2 linked regions of the Caenorhabditis elegans genome follow. The protein of the gene in region 2 purifies or fractionates together with the protein of the main gene of each other region. This does not show direct contact. Each region holds a gene or a part of one and is shown on either strand. Other genes may lie near its edges. The genes, in order: Y57A10A.27 and Y48G9A.9.

Region 1 (8,353 bases), on a different chromosome or scaffold from region 2:
TCTGCCAATGAGCCGAGTCGAATAGAGAGAAAGAGAGAAAGAGAGAGAGAGAGAGAGAGAGAGAGAGAGAGAGAGAGAGAGAGAGAGAGAGAGAGAGAGAGAGAGAGAGAGAGATCTGCCTTTACACTGATCTCGGAGCTCTCGGAGCCGCCCGGCGGGGCTATCGGTTGCAAGCCTCCCGCCGGAGGCGGGAAGCGCCTACGACAGATGTTGTTAAGCTCTAAGTGAGTGAGTAGGAAGAGGAGATGAGAAAGAGAATAACACTAATTTTTCCGGCGGTGCCGAACCCCCGGGAAATGAGAACGAGGAGGAAAAAATTGAAGAAAACTAAAGAAAAAATGTTGCTGAACAGGTGTGGGCGGATTTTGGCAACTTTTTAACTGGATTTTTGGGAATTTTTCAGTGAAAATCTAGTTTTTTTTTACTCAAAAAAGCAAGTTTTGTTATAAAAATTTGATGATAAAATTGAAATTCAACCATTTTTGAACTCTAAATTTTTTTTTTGAAATTACGGAAATTTTCAATCAAAAAAATAATAATTTTCAGGGTAAAAATCGAGCTTTAGAGCTAAAAACAATTTGTTTTTCAAAAATCGCTGAAATTTTTGGAAATTAAATTTTTTTAAATTTTTTAAATAAAAATTTCCCATATTTTTATTTAATAAATTTCATCTAACCAATTTTGAGCACTCAAAAAAGCATTTTTTTCGTAAAAAAATTATTACCTTTTCGTGAATCCTTGAATCCCTCGCATGGCGTTTTCCAAGTTCCTGGAAAAAACCGAAAATTACAAAAAAAAAATCAAAAAAAAAATGGAGAAAAATAAAAATAAAAAATTGGAAGCAATCCGGATATTCAACAAAAGAAGTTCAGAATTTCGCAGATTTTTTTATTTAAAAAATGAGGTAAAATTCAAAATTTCCAGAACAAAATGAATAACAACAAATCAACAAGGAAAACAATTTAAAAATGAGAAAAAAAAAACGATTTTTTCAGAAAATTGCTAAAAATCACAAAATTAGCCAATTTTTTTGAAAAAAAAACAGAAAAATCGAATTTTCTTCTACCAATTAATGGGATGAGCCACTGGATGCATACGAATCACAACATTATTCGCTGCCTGGGTATCCGAGCACTCGTCGATTGCAGCTTCAAGTCGAGCGAAGGTTCCGACTAGGGATTGCTGGAAAAATAGAAAAAATAGATTTAAATTATAGAAAATGATATGAAAATTAGTTTTTAAAAAATTTGAAAAACGCTAAATTTTTTATGATTTTTTTTTTCAATTTTGCAATATAAATTTTTTTTTTTCGTAAAATTTTCAGACAATTTTCGGCAAAAAAATTAATCTGAAATCAGCTAATTTATCGATTTTAACTGAAATTTTTTTGAAAAAATCAGTAAATTCTGCCGGCGGGAATTCAAAAATTTACAAAAAAATTAGTAATTTTTCAGAAATATTGTGAAAAAAATTATATTGTTGAAAAATATTAATTCAGTGTTTTTTTTGGGAAATTTGAAAAAAATGTTTTTCTGAAATTCGCAATTTTTTCGTGTTAAAAAAAGATTATATTTCCTGAAAAATTCAATTTTTTTGAATTTAAGAAAAAAAATTTTTTTCTTGAAAATTGGCGAAAATAAGAATTTTTTTCGGAGAATTAAAAAAAAATTTTTTTTAATAAAATTCAAATTTCGCGCCAAAACCCCGAAAATCACTGAATTCTGAACAATTTAGTAGAAAATTTTGAAAGAAATTGCTCAATTTTTTTTGTAGAAATTTCGGGAAAATTTCCAAAAAAAAAATCATCAAAATTCGAATTTTTATCGAACAATTTTATTCTCGGATTTCAAAGAAAATTGCAATTTTTCCACTTTTTTTTCGAATTTTAGATAAATTTTCTGCTGAAAAAATTGATTTTTCTACAATTTTCTTTTTTTTTCTTTAATAATCGGAGATTTTTTGATTTTTTTTTTGAAAATAAATTTTCTAATTTTTTTTTCAATAAAACTAAAATTTGAAGTCCCGCCAAATTTTTCTGAGAAATTTGAATTTGTAGTCAGTTTTTTAAACGGAAAATTCAGAAAAAAAAAGTCGTTTTCAATTTATTTTTTCCACATTTTTATGGCTTTTCCTTCAAAATTTCACATTTTTCATCGTTTTAAGCCTAAAATTGGCCAATTTTTCAGCGGAAAATCACTTTTTCCAGCACTTTCCGTACCATTTCAATAATAAAATTGCTGATCGCAGCGAATTTGTGATGAAGTTTATCCTCATATACAATACGTGAACCATGTGCATCCATAAGTACAGTAATCAGTGTGAGAGCTTTTGAACTGATGGAAATATCCGGTGATTCACGGTAGATTTCAGTGAGAATTGTCATAATTTCGATGGATTCGGTGACGGAGAGCACGGCTCCGCAAGCTTCGGTCATTGGAATTTTAGAGAAGTTACGGGCAAGAACTTGGCTCACTTGGGCTCGGCGCTCGGATTCGGACGGTTTTCTGGAAAAAAAAGCTTAGTTTTTTAGTTTTTTTTATTTTTAATTTTTTCGAGAAAAATTGACAAAATTCGACTAATTTTGAATTTTTTTTTCGTATTTTTAACGATAATTTTTCGATAATTTTCTGTCAAATTTAGATTAAATTACAGCCAATTTTCGAGAATTTCGGAATTTTTGATTTTTTTTTAACAAAAAATCTGAAAATATCAATATTTTTTTTCAAAAAATCGTAAAATTTTCCGGAAAATTTTTTTTTTTTTTAATTTTTTCTTAAAAACGTTAAGCCTTTTGTTAGATTTATTCTTTTTTTCCGGAAAATGTTCATTTTTTCGGCGTTTTTCAGAGAAAATCGAAAAAAAAAACAGAAAATTAAAAATTAAAAATTCATAAATTTCTCGTTTTCCGAAATCCAATTTAGTTCAATTCAAGAAAAATATGTTTTTTTTTTCGGATTTAATATGAAAAAGAAAAAATGTTTGGTACGATTTTTTCTTTTTTCCAGAAAATATTCAGTTTTTAAAGCGTTTTTTAGATCGAAAAAACACCATTTATTTGAATTTGTTTTCAGAAAAAAATTAAACATTTTTTCGTTTTTTTTTTTGTGGTTTTCAGAGAAAATTGAAAAAAAAACACGAAAAATAATTTTAAAAAATTTCCTTTTTTTTAAAGATTTTATATGGAAAAAACGCAAAATTTTCGGTAGGTTATTTTCTGTTTTTCCAGAAAATTTTCACTTTTTTTTTGCTGTTTTTCAGATCGAAAAAACACCATTTATTTGAATTTGTTTTCTGAGAAAATTAAACATTTTTCCGTTTTTTGTTGTTGATTTCAGAGAAAATTGAAAAAAAGCAGGAATAACCTTTCAAAAATGCCCTTTTTTAAAACTTTCTTTGAAAAAACACAATTAAAAAATCTGGAAAATATCCGATTTTATATTTTTATAAAAAATAGTAAAATTTTTGTTTTTTTGGATTTTATATGGAAAAACAGCCAAAAAATTTTTCTCTTTTTCAGAGAAAATCGAAAAAAAAACTTATTTTTCTGGATTTTCTCAAAAAAAAAGGCAATTTTTGATGCGATATTTTTCTTTTTTCCAGAAAGTTTTCAGTTTTTTTTTGTTGGTGTTTTCAGATCGAAAAAACACCAATTTTTAAATTTTTTCTGTAAATTTTCATACGAAAAATGCAATTTTCGTGGATTTTTCTCTCGAAAAACTAAGAATTTTCATAAATTTTATTTAAAAAAAATGCGACTTTACGAGCTGAAATTGTAATATTTTCAGACTTTTTTGCTCGGAAAACGAAAATTTTCGAAGCTACCGAGCTGAAATTGGTATTTTTTTCAAATTTTTCTATGCAAAATGCTATTTTTCGTGGCTTTTGAGCAAAAAAAAAAGGTGATATTTTCGCATTTTTTGCACGAAAAAACGACGATTTTTGCGCTTTTTCATTCGAAAAATGCGATTGTTCGAGCTGAAACTATAATATTTTCAGACTTTTTTGCTCGGAAAACGTACATTTTCGAATATTTTCAAATTTTTCTAAGGAAAATGCTATTTTTCGTGGCTTTTGAGCAAAAAAAAGTGAGATTTTCGCAATTTTTGCTCGAAAAACTACGAATTTAGGTGAAAATTGTACGTATTTTCATAGGAAAAATTGCTTCTTTTTTTTTTAAATTTTTTGCTCATAGTCATCTCCATACCCAGCAGCAAGCTTCAACAATTCAGCCAAAATAAATTCCGACACAACACGTGCTCCATCGGCGAGCACATGCTCCACAATTTCCGTATTGCTCTTCAGCTTCTCAATGCACATTCTCAAAAAACCGTCCTCATTTCGAAAAGAGAGCACTCTCGACGTGGCAATCGCTTTGAGCACCACATGAAGCGTCTCGGGCTCCGAATCCACGTCATCCGTGTAGCGGCGGATTGCGGTGAGCAATTGAGACTGCTCAACAGCCGAAAGAGCTCCAGCAGCTTCTCCATTGGAGCATTCTTCGTCAAGTTTCGAGCTCAGCTGCTTCCATCTTTTCTCTTTTTCCGGATTTTCAATACAATTTTGAATTGATTTTAATAGAGATTTCGTGTCAAATGTATCGATTGGATTGACGGCAAATGAGCTGAACGTTTTCGTTTTCGTGGTGGGACCCGATTTCGCGATGGCTGTCGCTGTTAGAGCGTCGATTTTTGATTTTCTGAAAGAAATTTTGAGGTCTTATGTGATTTTTATGTCGAAAAATTAGCATTTTTCACTACATTTTCTGAAGAAAATTTAAATTTTTATTTTTTTTTATTCAAAAAATTGGCTTAAAATCGAGTTTAGACAGTTTTTGAAAGAAATTCATACAATTTTTTGTGATTTTTAGATTCAAAAATGGTCGAAAATCGAGCTTTTTTGTTTTTTTTTTTCTAAAAAAGTAACTTTTTTAATAAAAATCGAAAAATTTGCATTTTTACTTCATTTACTTCTTTTTTTTGCCTCAAAATTGGCTAAAAAATTTACAGTTTTCTCGATTTTCCTAGAAAAATTATACCTATTTTGTGTAAAAACAATTTTTTTTTTGATTTGCTGTAATAAAATGAGATTTTAGTATTTTTTGGAACATTTTTCGGATTAAAAATTCACTGAAAATCGAATTTTTTAAAAATTTAATTTCGGGTTTTTCGATAAAAGCTTTTTTTCCGAAAAAATTGGAAATTTTTTGGGTTTTTTATCGAAAAATTAGCATTTTTCACTCCATTTTTTTGATTTTTTAAATTTTTTTTTTTGACTCAAAATTGGCTTTAAAAATGTTTTTTGGAAATTGCAATAAAAATTGAAATTTTTATAATTTTTTCAGGAAAATCAAATCTCTTTTTTTTAATGCAAAACAAAATTGGAGGTTTTAGAAGGTTTTTAGTAATTTTAAATACATTTTTTGTGATTTTTTCTGGAAAATTAACTTTTAATTTTAGAATTTTTTATCGAAAAATTCGCATTTTTCACTCTATTTTTTGTAAAAAAAATGGTTTTTTGTCCGTTTTTTCGGATTTTTTTTTGGAATTTTCAAACTTTTCATGACACCTCATTTTTTTTTCAGATTCAAAATTTGCTGAAAACCTTTTTTTTGTTGAAAATTTCTCTATTTTTTTTAAATTTTTCGACTTCTAGAAGGGTTTTTCCCGGATAATTAGAAATTGTAGAATTTTCCGAGAGAATTTTTTTTCGGACTTTTACTTTTTTTTTTTAATTTTAAAAATTGATTTTTCTACAGTTTTCTATGAAAAAATTGAAATTTTCTTGCTAAAATCCCAAATTTTTGTCCGAATTCCAAATTCTAGCCACTAAAACCGTACGGCATTGGAAGAAGAGCTTCAGAAGTTGGTCCAACAATCAAAAGTTGCTCATCTCCATTATTATAAGCAATTTGAGTTGGAAGAGTCTGTCCAATTGGCCAACGGATCACTTTTCTCGCGAGAGCTGAAGCTTTTGTCGATTTCCGATCGATGAGCTCGATGAGCAGTTCTGTGTGCTTTTTTGTGCTCTTTTGGTGTGTTTCGTCGTCCTCGGCGAGCCGGGTGAGGTCGACTTTTAGGAAATCGTTGAGATCAAGCGACAGGTGCATTCTGGAAATTTTTTTGGGTTTTTTTCAGATTTTCTAGTGAAAAATTATAAAAATTGGGGGGGTTTTTTTTTTCAAAAATGTTTAAATTTTCAGCTAAAAATTCGGATTTTCTTTTTGAAAAATTCGAAAAAATATTGCAAAGTTTTGTTGCAATGTTCTCAATAAATTCCAATTTTCGGAAATTTTTTAAATTTAATAAGAAGGGATTTGAGTAAATTTGAATTTTTTTGTGATTTTCTATAGAAAAGGGAATTTTTTAATGGAATTGTCTTGAAAATTCCAATTTTTCTGCAATTTTTTCAAAAAATTGTCAACCTTTTCAGCCAAAAATTCGGGATAATTCCAATTTTCGGATTTTTTTGAAGAAAAATTCGAATTTTTTTTATTTTCTCGAGAAAATCGGAGTAAATTTGAATTTTTTGTGATTTTTTACTTAAAAAATTTTTAAAAAAGGAATTTTTCATTGGAATTTTCTTGAAAATTCCAAAAAATTGCAATTTTTTCAAAAAAAAAGTGCAACATTTTTTTTTTTGGTAAAATCAAAAATTTCGAATTTTAAAATATTTTTTTTGATAATTTTGGATTAAATTTTTTGGAATAAATTGGAGGAATATCAGAAAAATAAATTTTTTTGAGATTTTTTAAAAAATCACTTCTAAAAATCTGATTTTTTTTTGAATTTTTAAAAAATTAAAAAAAAATGAAAACATTTCAAATTTTTTTTCTAAAAATTCGGGAAAATTCCAATTTTTTGAATAATTTTTTTTAAATTTTTCAGCGAAATTTTCGGAAAAAAATCTGAAAATTTCGCAAATTAAAATTAAAATATAAAACAGTTTCAAAAACTGAATGTCAAAAAAAATTACAATAAAAAATCGCTCTAAAAAATAAAAAATAAAATTATTTAAACAAAAAAAACGTAATACTTCAAGTAAAATGTTAGTACCCGGCCGAGAGAAATGGGGAGAAAATTTGGAAAAATTGTTAGAAAATAAAAATATTTGTTTAAAGAGTAAATGGGAATCTAGACGGGGTAAAAAAAAGAAAAATGCTGTAAAATTTTTTGACTAGTTTTTGAAAAAAATTAGCTGAAATTTCCCAATTTTTCATAAAAATTTCGGGAAAAAAATGCTCCAATTCTCAGAATTTTCCGAATTTTTTCCAAAATTTTACAGCAAATTTCTGCGATTTTTTCAGAAATTTCTGCTAATTTCTATAAATTTTTAGTGACTAGAAACATGGATAAAGCGGCGAGTTTTGGATGGCAAGTGGGGTGATAAAACTGCAAAAAAATTAAAAATTAATAGGGAAAAAATGAGCCTTTGGCTCTTTTTAAACGAGGGGATTAATATGAAAATTCACAGAAATTATTTTTTAAAGAAAGATCAATTATTCTTTTTATCCGTGCCATTGGACATTTGGGCGAGCAGCTTCTTCTTTTTCAGCACTTTTTCCCGCTCTTTTGACAGAATTTCCTCCTCGGATAGTACACGATTACTGTGTATGGCTTTTTTTGTGGCGTCGACGGCTCTGGAATGGAAAATTTTTGGTTAAAAATGGATTTTTTGGGGGGAAAAGTGGAAAAATTGAGCTAAAATTCAGATTTTTAGGCCAAAAATTAATATTTTAGAGCATTTTTCACATGAAAAATGCAATTTTTCGAGCTAAAAATGTAATATTTTCGAAATTTCTTCCGAATTTTCATATGAAAAATGCAATTTTTTATGGTTTTTGAGTTGAATTTTTGCACCAAAAACTACGATTTTTTTTTTCGTATTTTTCGAGCAAAAATTGTAATATTTTCAGGCTTTTTTTGCTCGGAAAACGCAAATTTTCGATTTTTTATTGAATTTTCATATAAAAATGCGATTTTTCGTGGCTTTTGAGCAAAACAAATGAGATTTCCTGACATTTTTCCTCAAAAACTACAACTTTAAGTTAAAATTGTACATTTTTTTAATACGAAAAATCGCATTTTTGAGATATTTCGTTTTAAAAATTTCGATTTTTAGGTCCAAATTTTGCATTTTTGCTAGATTTTTCAATGATTTTATTCAAAAAAAGCGCCTTTTCGAGCTAAAATTGTATTATTTTCAGATTTTTCATCAAATTTTCATATGAAAAATGCAACGAAAAATCACATTTTTGCAAGTTTTTTTTCCTAAAAATTTTTGCGTTTTTCATGCATTTTTCATGAAAAATGGAATTTTTCGAGCTGAAATTGTAAAATTTTTGAATTTTTTCAAA
Region 2 (7,051 bases):
CATGATGTAGATCTCCACGTACTGATGTCTTAATAAACCTGTCAAGTGAGTGGTATGGGTCACCCCACTTAACACACAAACCTCCCCCGTCCGCCTCTCAAATGTACACATAACGTTCATTTTCTTGGTTTTTTGAGCAAAAAGTGAAAAGAGATATTCTTGGAAATTTTGAAATTTTATTGTTCTGTGCGACTTCGCACGTTTTAGTTATGATAACTTTTCGGAAAAAAAATTTCCGAAAAAAACTTTTTTTTGAACGTTTTTCAATTTTTTTTAGTTTGTATTTTGTAGAATTTTGTGAAAATTTTTATTTCAAAAAATACATTTGAAATATTTTACACAGTTTAATTAAAAAACTTGTTGAAAATCTCAAAAACTGACAAAGTTACGAACTTTTGAAATTTTCACGAAAAAAAATTTTTTTTTGAAAGTTGGGTCCCGCCACGAAAGCTCGTAGCGCACTGTAGTTTTGATGTATTTTGTTGTTTAATAATTTTTATTAAATTTTTCAAAAATTTAACTAAATTCAAAAACAAAAATCAGCTGAAAATCTTAAAAACTGGCAAAGTTACGAATTTTTGAAAAATCACAAAAAACAATTTTTTGAAAATTGGGTCCCACCACGAAAACTCTTGGTGTATCGTAGGTTTACGGCTAAACAAATTTGTTTGATTTTTTCCAAATTTGTAAATGTTTTACCTAAATTTTGAAACAAAAATTAACTAAAAATCTCAAAAACTGACAAAGTTATGAATTTTTGAAAGTCACATAAAAAATCTTTTTTTGAAAATTGGGTCCCGCCACAACTTTTTGGTTACTGTAGTTTCTGAGGTTTTTTTGTATTTTTTAAATTTTTTCAATTTAATCAGTAGTTGTAGTTGAGCTATATATTAAAACAAGAATCATTAAAAAATATCAAAAACTGACCAAGTTATGAATTGTTTAAATTTTTGAAATTTTTTTTTGCAAAAAATTCACAACTTATTCAAATTTTCTATATATAGCTAATTTTTGCTGTAAAATTCAGAAAATCCACTCAAAAATTTATGGAAAATTAATTTTCTGTCGTTGTGCTCAAACACTACAGTAACCCAAGATTTTTCGTGGCGGGACCCCACAAAAAAAATTTCCAAAAAAAAAAATTATTTTTAGAAATTATTTTTCTAAATTATTATACGTTCGTGGTTTATTTTGGGGGGGCACACAAACCAACAATAGCAAATAATAGATAAAGTGCGTCAAGTGTTGTTGAACATCGATATCCCCTCAGGCACACTTATCCCCTCTCACTCACTTGCCACCTAAAAATATCTATTTTCTGACCACTTGTTCCGTTTTCTCTGCACTTTTTTTTGTGATTTTTTGGGGTTACTGTAGTTATAGAAATAATCAAAAACCTGAGAAAAAGTTTTGGGAAAAGTTTTGAAAATTTTGGAAAATTTTTTTTTTTTGAAAAATATTATTTTTTTCTATTTTTTTTCACAATATTCACTTTTTTTTATTTTTTAACTAAAATTTTGAATTTCTGATTTTCAGACGTTCAAAATAACCCCCATCATTCCCAGGTTCTGGCGATTTTGAGTTTTTGGGTCTCACCACGCTGGGTACTGTAGCTATGGTTTCAGCTGTGTCGGAACTCAAGTTCAGCTGAAACTAGGCATGATGGGTGTTATTTTAAAGGTCTCGGTGCGGTGAACCCAAAAAAATAATTTTTAAAAAGTTTAGTTTAAAATTCACGGGAATATTTTGAAATTAGATATTTTAGGCAAAAAATCAATTCAAATTTTTCGAAAATTCGTAACTTTGTGAGTTTTTGAGGTTTTCAGATGGTTTTTGTCTTAAAATGTGGGAAATTGCTGGCTTCAACTTTACAAAAATGTCAGTTAGGTCAATTTAAATCCCTAAAAATAAAAACAAAGTCTTGAAAAAATATCCGAAAAAATTTCAAAAAAAAATTTTCTTCAAGATGTTTTCTATCATTTTTGAGTTGTTTTTTCTTTTTTCTTTTTTTCTTTGAAACCGTTATAATTCCAAAATTCGCTCCAAAATTTTCAGAAATTAAAATGCGCTGTAGATTCTCACGTGGCAGAATCAAGGCAGTCTCGTCGGTGCCACGTGGCACACCAATTTATCAGTTTTTTGAGGCTCCGGATGCAAACAATAATTACGATGAAAATGAGCACAAAATTTATAAAAAAGTTTGAGATTTTTTTTGGGAAAAAATTAAATTTTTGAAAAAAAAATTTTCGGACAAAATTTTTTTTTGATAAAAAATTGAATTTTCAGACAGATGATCACCACAGAAAGTATGTAGAAACTCTGAACAACTTTATAATTGCCACTGAAAAGCTGGGAATCGAAGGTTTGGCGAAACAGTACCGGAAACTCGATGCCCAGCAGGACTCCTCACTAACTTTTGAGGCTTTTAAGCAGAATATGCACAAAAATCGATATTCAGGTGAGTTGAAAGTTTAAAATTTGAGTTTGGCGTGAAAAGAGCTTTCAAACAAGTATAATCATGCCAGGGTTCTGAAAAAAAAAAATTTTCGGAAATTTTTAAAATTTCGAGGTCTCGCCGCGAAAAGTCCTGACTTTTTCCTGACTTTCATTTTGGGCACAAATTAGGTTATTGTATTTTTCTTCGACAATATAAATATTAATGTAATTTTTAAACAAAAAATTAGCCGCAAATCTCGAAAATTGGTGGAGTTACGGATTTTCGAAAATTTTCGAATTTTTTGAAAAATTTTTAAATTTAAAAAACCACCAAAAATGTGGTTTTTTGGAGCCGATACAGTTTTGAAACTGCGATTTCTGGATCTTTCCCGCCATTAGCTTCAATTTGACCGCCAAATTCTCCAGGCCACGCCCACTTTTGAGAGTACTGTAGTTTAACGTGGTGGAGCCCAACTTTGACGGAACCTAGTCATGATGGGTGTCATTTTGAAGGTCTCAAAGCGATAATTTTGAATTTTCACATGTTTTATTTGCTGAGGCGGAAATTACAAAAATAAGTTTTTAAAATTTTCGAAAAACAATTTTTCCAATTTTTTAAAAATTCATAACTTTGTCAGTTTTGAAGATTTTAACTTGATTTTTAGCTTAAAATGTGCGTGAAATATTTTTCTGCTGGATTAAATTGCACATTTTATAACACTTCAAAAAAGTGTTTGCAAATAAATTTTTGAAAAATTTTTTTCTTTAATATTTTTTTTTTAATTTTTCAAAAATTCATAGCTCGGTCAGTTTTCAAGGTTTTGGCCTGATTTTCAGCTCAAAATGTGCGCAAAATATTAATGTGTTTGAAAAAATACAAAAAACCATAAGCTAACAAAATTCGTTAAAGAAAATATATTCGAAAAGATGTTTTTTTTTGTTGAAAATTTAAATTTTTTCAAAAAGTCAATTTTCAGACGTGGTATGTCGCGACACTACACGAGTAAAGCTGACAATTGACAAAAGTCGATATGAGGATTATATTCATGCAAATTACGTAAAAACCAATTACCTGAGGAACACATTTATCTGCACACAAGGACCCCTTCAGCACACAATTATCGATTTTTGGAGGATGATTTTTCAGGAGAGAGCTGAGAGCATTTTGATGCTCTGCAAGTGAGTTTGGAAATTTTGAGAGCTTTCAGAAAAGCATAAACTCGATGGTTTTTGAAAAAAAAAATTTAATTTGGAACAAAATTTCAAAAAAAAATTGTTCTATGTTTTCAAAAAAAAATCTAATTGTTCCGAATTTGAAAACCAATCAATAATTCAAACTCTACTCATTGAGCCCTTCAAAATGACCCCCATATTGCCTATAATCCGACAACTTTCAAAATTTTTGGGTCTCACCACGAAGACCATCTGGGTTACTGTAGTTATGTGCTTTTTGTGGGTTTTCAGATTTTTTAGCGTTAGTTCATTTTTTTTTTTGCAAATTTTTTGTCTAAAATAAGGCGGAAATCTTTAAAACAAGCAAAGTTATGGTTTTTCGAAAATTTACGATTTTTCTTCGAAAATTATATTTTAAACTACAGTAACTCGTTGAAAATCGTGTCGAGATCCTTGGTTGGGTCCCGCAACGAAGGATACTGTAGTTTTCGTGGCGGGACCCGAACCTAGTCATGATTATACTTATTTTGAAGGTCTCATTGAGCTAAAAATAGAAATTTGAAAGTTTGCGTGTAAAAATCGACATGTATAAATCAAAAATTATAAAAGAAATTAGAATTTTCGAAATTTTTCGAAAATCCATAACTTTTCCAATTTTCCACATTTTTTGATGGTGTTTGTTTTAAAATTTGCGCAGTTCCTCGCACTACCCGAGAAAAATATTAAAAAATCAATAACTCCAGAACAATGGAAGAGGGCCGCCCGAAATGCGTCGGCTACTGGCCATCACTTGGCGTAACAGAAACATACGGGTGCATACGTGTCACAAATATGGGCGAATCGTCCGATGAATTTGAAATTTGCAATTTAGCAGTGACATTTGTGCCTGACAATGTGCCGGTCGATGAGCAGCCCGCAAATTTGAAGGAGCTCAGAGTTAACCTGATTAAATGGCCAAAGTGAGTTAATTTTTTGGAAAATTTTGAAGAAATTAGGGAAAACACACGAAAAATCGATAATTTCAGCGAAAACGCTGAGAAAAATCGATCATTTAGCACAAATTTACACAATTTTCCGAAAAATCAATAAAGCAAAAAAATTATCGATTTTGAAGGAAATTATTGATTTTTTTTTTGAATTTTTTTTTTTTGGAAAATTGACATTTTTCTTCAAATTTCACAACTTTCTTTCTTGCAGTTGGCCGGACCGCGGTGTGCCCGACGAAAAATGTCATACAGTACCCCAGCGGCTGTTGGCTCAGGTGCGGCACGGCCCTTGTGTGGTACATTGCTCCGCCGGGATTGGAAGGACCGGTTGTGTAGTTGCTCTGGAATTCGCTTATAATAAATTGGATAGAGGACTGAAAGTAGACTTTGAGGAGGTAAGGATTTGAGGGAAAATTCGAAAATTCTTGAAAAAAAAATTTTGTTTTGGATTTTTTTCTTACAATTTCGGATTTCAAGAAACATGATGGAGATTTGTTATCAGTTCCCGGAAGCGTTTAAAATGACCCCCATCATGACCAGGTTCCGACGATTTTGAGTTTTCGGGTCCCGCCACGCTGGGTACTGTAGCTATGGTTTCAGCTGTGTCGGAACTCAATTTCAGCGGAAACTGGGCATGTTGGGTGTCATTTAAAAGGCATTGATAGGCTGAATTCTATTTTACTCTCAAAAATTTTTTAAAAAATCCTTAAAAAATAAAATTTAGAGAAAAATGCTTTTTTTTTTTTGAAAATTTAAAGAAAAGTTTTTTTTTCGAATTTTTACTTTTGCAAACTAATTTTTGAAAATTTGAATCTAGCTCACCGAGACCTTTAAAATGACCCCCATCATGACCAGGTTCCGACGATTTTAAGTTTTTGGGTCCCGCCACGCTGGGTACTGTAGCTATGGTTTCGGCTGTGTCTAAACTTAAAATAGACGGAACCTAGGCATGTTGGGGGTCATTCTGAAGCCACGAAGTGCTGAACTTTAATTTTTTAACTTTAAAGTAGTAGTTGTGGCCTAAAAAATTTTGCCCGGGTTTTCTAGGCCACCAATTTCAAATCGCCGTAACTTGGCTTAAAATCGATATTTTTGAATTCTGAAAAATCCCATCGATTTATTGATTTTTCGTCTATCAATTAATTTTTTAAATTTTAATTTCAGATCATAACAGAACTCCGAAAACAGCGCGCCCAATGCATTCAAACAGAAATTCAATACCTCTACATCCATCGTGTCATGATTGCCTTCGCACGCGGGGAGACGGACGTTTCGGAGAAGGCTTTGGCAGCTGCCGACGCATTTTTGAAGTCTTATGATGAACATTTGAAGAAAATTTGAATATTTCTTGCCGTAAAAAATTTTTTTTGAAAATTTTTTTTTTTTTTGAAAATTTTTTTAAAATTTTTTCGAAAAATAATTTTTTAATATTTCTATTTTATCGATTATTTCTCCAGACTTTTTATTGATTTTTGCAAAAACCGGTGTCCCATTTTCCCCCAAAACGCTTTTATATCAATTCTCAGAGCCCCCATTATTGATTTTTGGTACTTTTCCGCTAGTCAAATGAATTTTTCCTTATTTTTCCAATTTTTTCCAAATTTTTTTCAGATTCTTTATTACAGATCAACCATGTGATAAATGTGTCAGTCAGTCACTTGCCACATTTTTTTTTCAAAAATTTTGATAAGAATTCCGGTGATAAGGAGGGGTTCTAGTGTAGTTTTGATGAAAAACTGTCATTTTTTAATGTTTCGTGACTAATTGGGTGCAGTTCGACTCGGTTTTGACGTTTTTCCTAATTATTTTTGAATCAAAACCGTATAAATTAGGTTGTGTACCTTTAAAATTGTCATGTTCGCTTCGAAACCCACTTTTTTCACACTTTTCTAATAATATTTGAATTCAGCACACTGAGACCTTCAAAATAAGTATAATCATGACTAGGTTTGAGTCCCGCCACGAAAAGTACAGTACCCTTCGTTGCGGGACCCAATTTTCGCGGAGAGACCCCAAAATGACGGAGCCTAGCCGATATGGGGCTTGTTTGAAAGCTCTGGAAACGCTGATTTTGAAAGTTCAAATTTCAAGGGTCTCGAAACGATATTCACCAAGTTATGGTAGTTTTAATGTAGAATTTTTTGGAAAAAAATCGAAAATTTTCGAAAATCCATAACTTTGTTAATTTTCAAGTTTTAAAATTGGTTTTAGTCTCAAAAATTTGGAAATTTTACTGAAAATATGAGAAAAATCATTTCGCCGCAAAAAAAAACACAAAACTACAGTAACCCAGTAGGTTTTCGTGGCGGGACCCAAATGTTTTCGATTTTCGTAAATTTCACCGTAATATAGCCGATATTGGGGTCATTTTGAAGGTCTAAGCGTGACAAATTCGAATTTTCACGAAAAATTCGGTTTTAATCATTTTTGAAATTTTTTTTGGAAAAAAAATTATT

What was found.
Region 1: the proteins of Y48G9A.9 (region 2) and Y57A10A.27 fractionate together in Caenorhabditis elegans (co-fractionation; one large-scale study listed by BioGRID). This does not show direct contact.

The regions. Positions count from the first base shown.
Region 1 is NC_003280.10:12,268,938-12,277,290, forward strand, and holds Y57A10A.27 (Armadillo repeat-containing protein 4), read right to left. Parts: upstream 6,108-8,353; 5' UTR 6,107-6,107; coding exon 5,838-6,106; intron 4,697-5,837; coding exon 4,205-4,696; intron 2,505-4,204; coding exon 2,219-2,504; intron 1,183-2,218; coding exon 1,063-1,182; 3' UTR 875-1,062; downstream 1-874. Other genes in the region: tric-1B.2 (Trimeric intracellular cation channel type 1B.2), read right to left, coding at 7,492-7,636.
Region 2 is NC_003281.10:2,093,699-2,100,749, forward strand, and holds Y48G9A.9 (Protein-tyrosine phosphatase), read left to right. Parts: upstream 1-2,053; 5' UTR 2,054-2,063; coding exon 2,064-2,198; intron 2,199-2,286; coding exon 2,287-2,458; intron 2,459-3,413; coding exon 3,414-3,615; intron 3,616-4,352; coding exon 4,353-4,568; intron 4,569-4,806; coding exon 4,807-4,990; intron 4,991-5,759; coding exon 5,760-5,936; 3' UTR 5,937-6,178; downstream 6,179-7,051.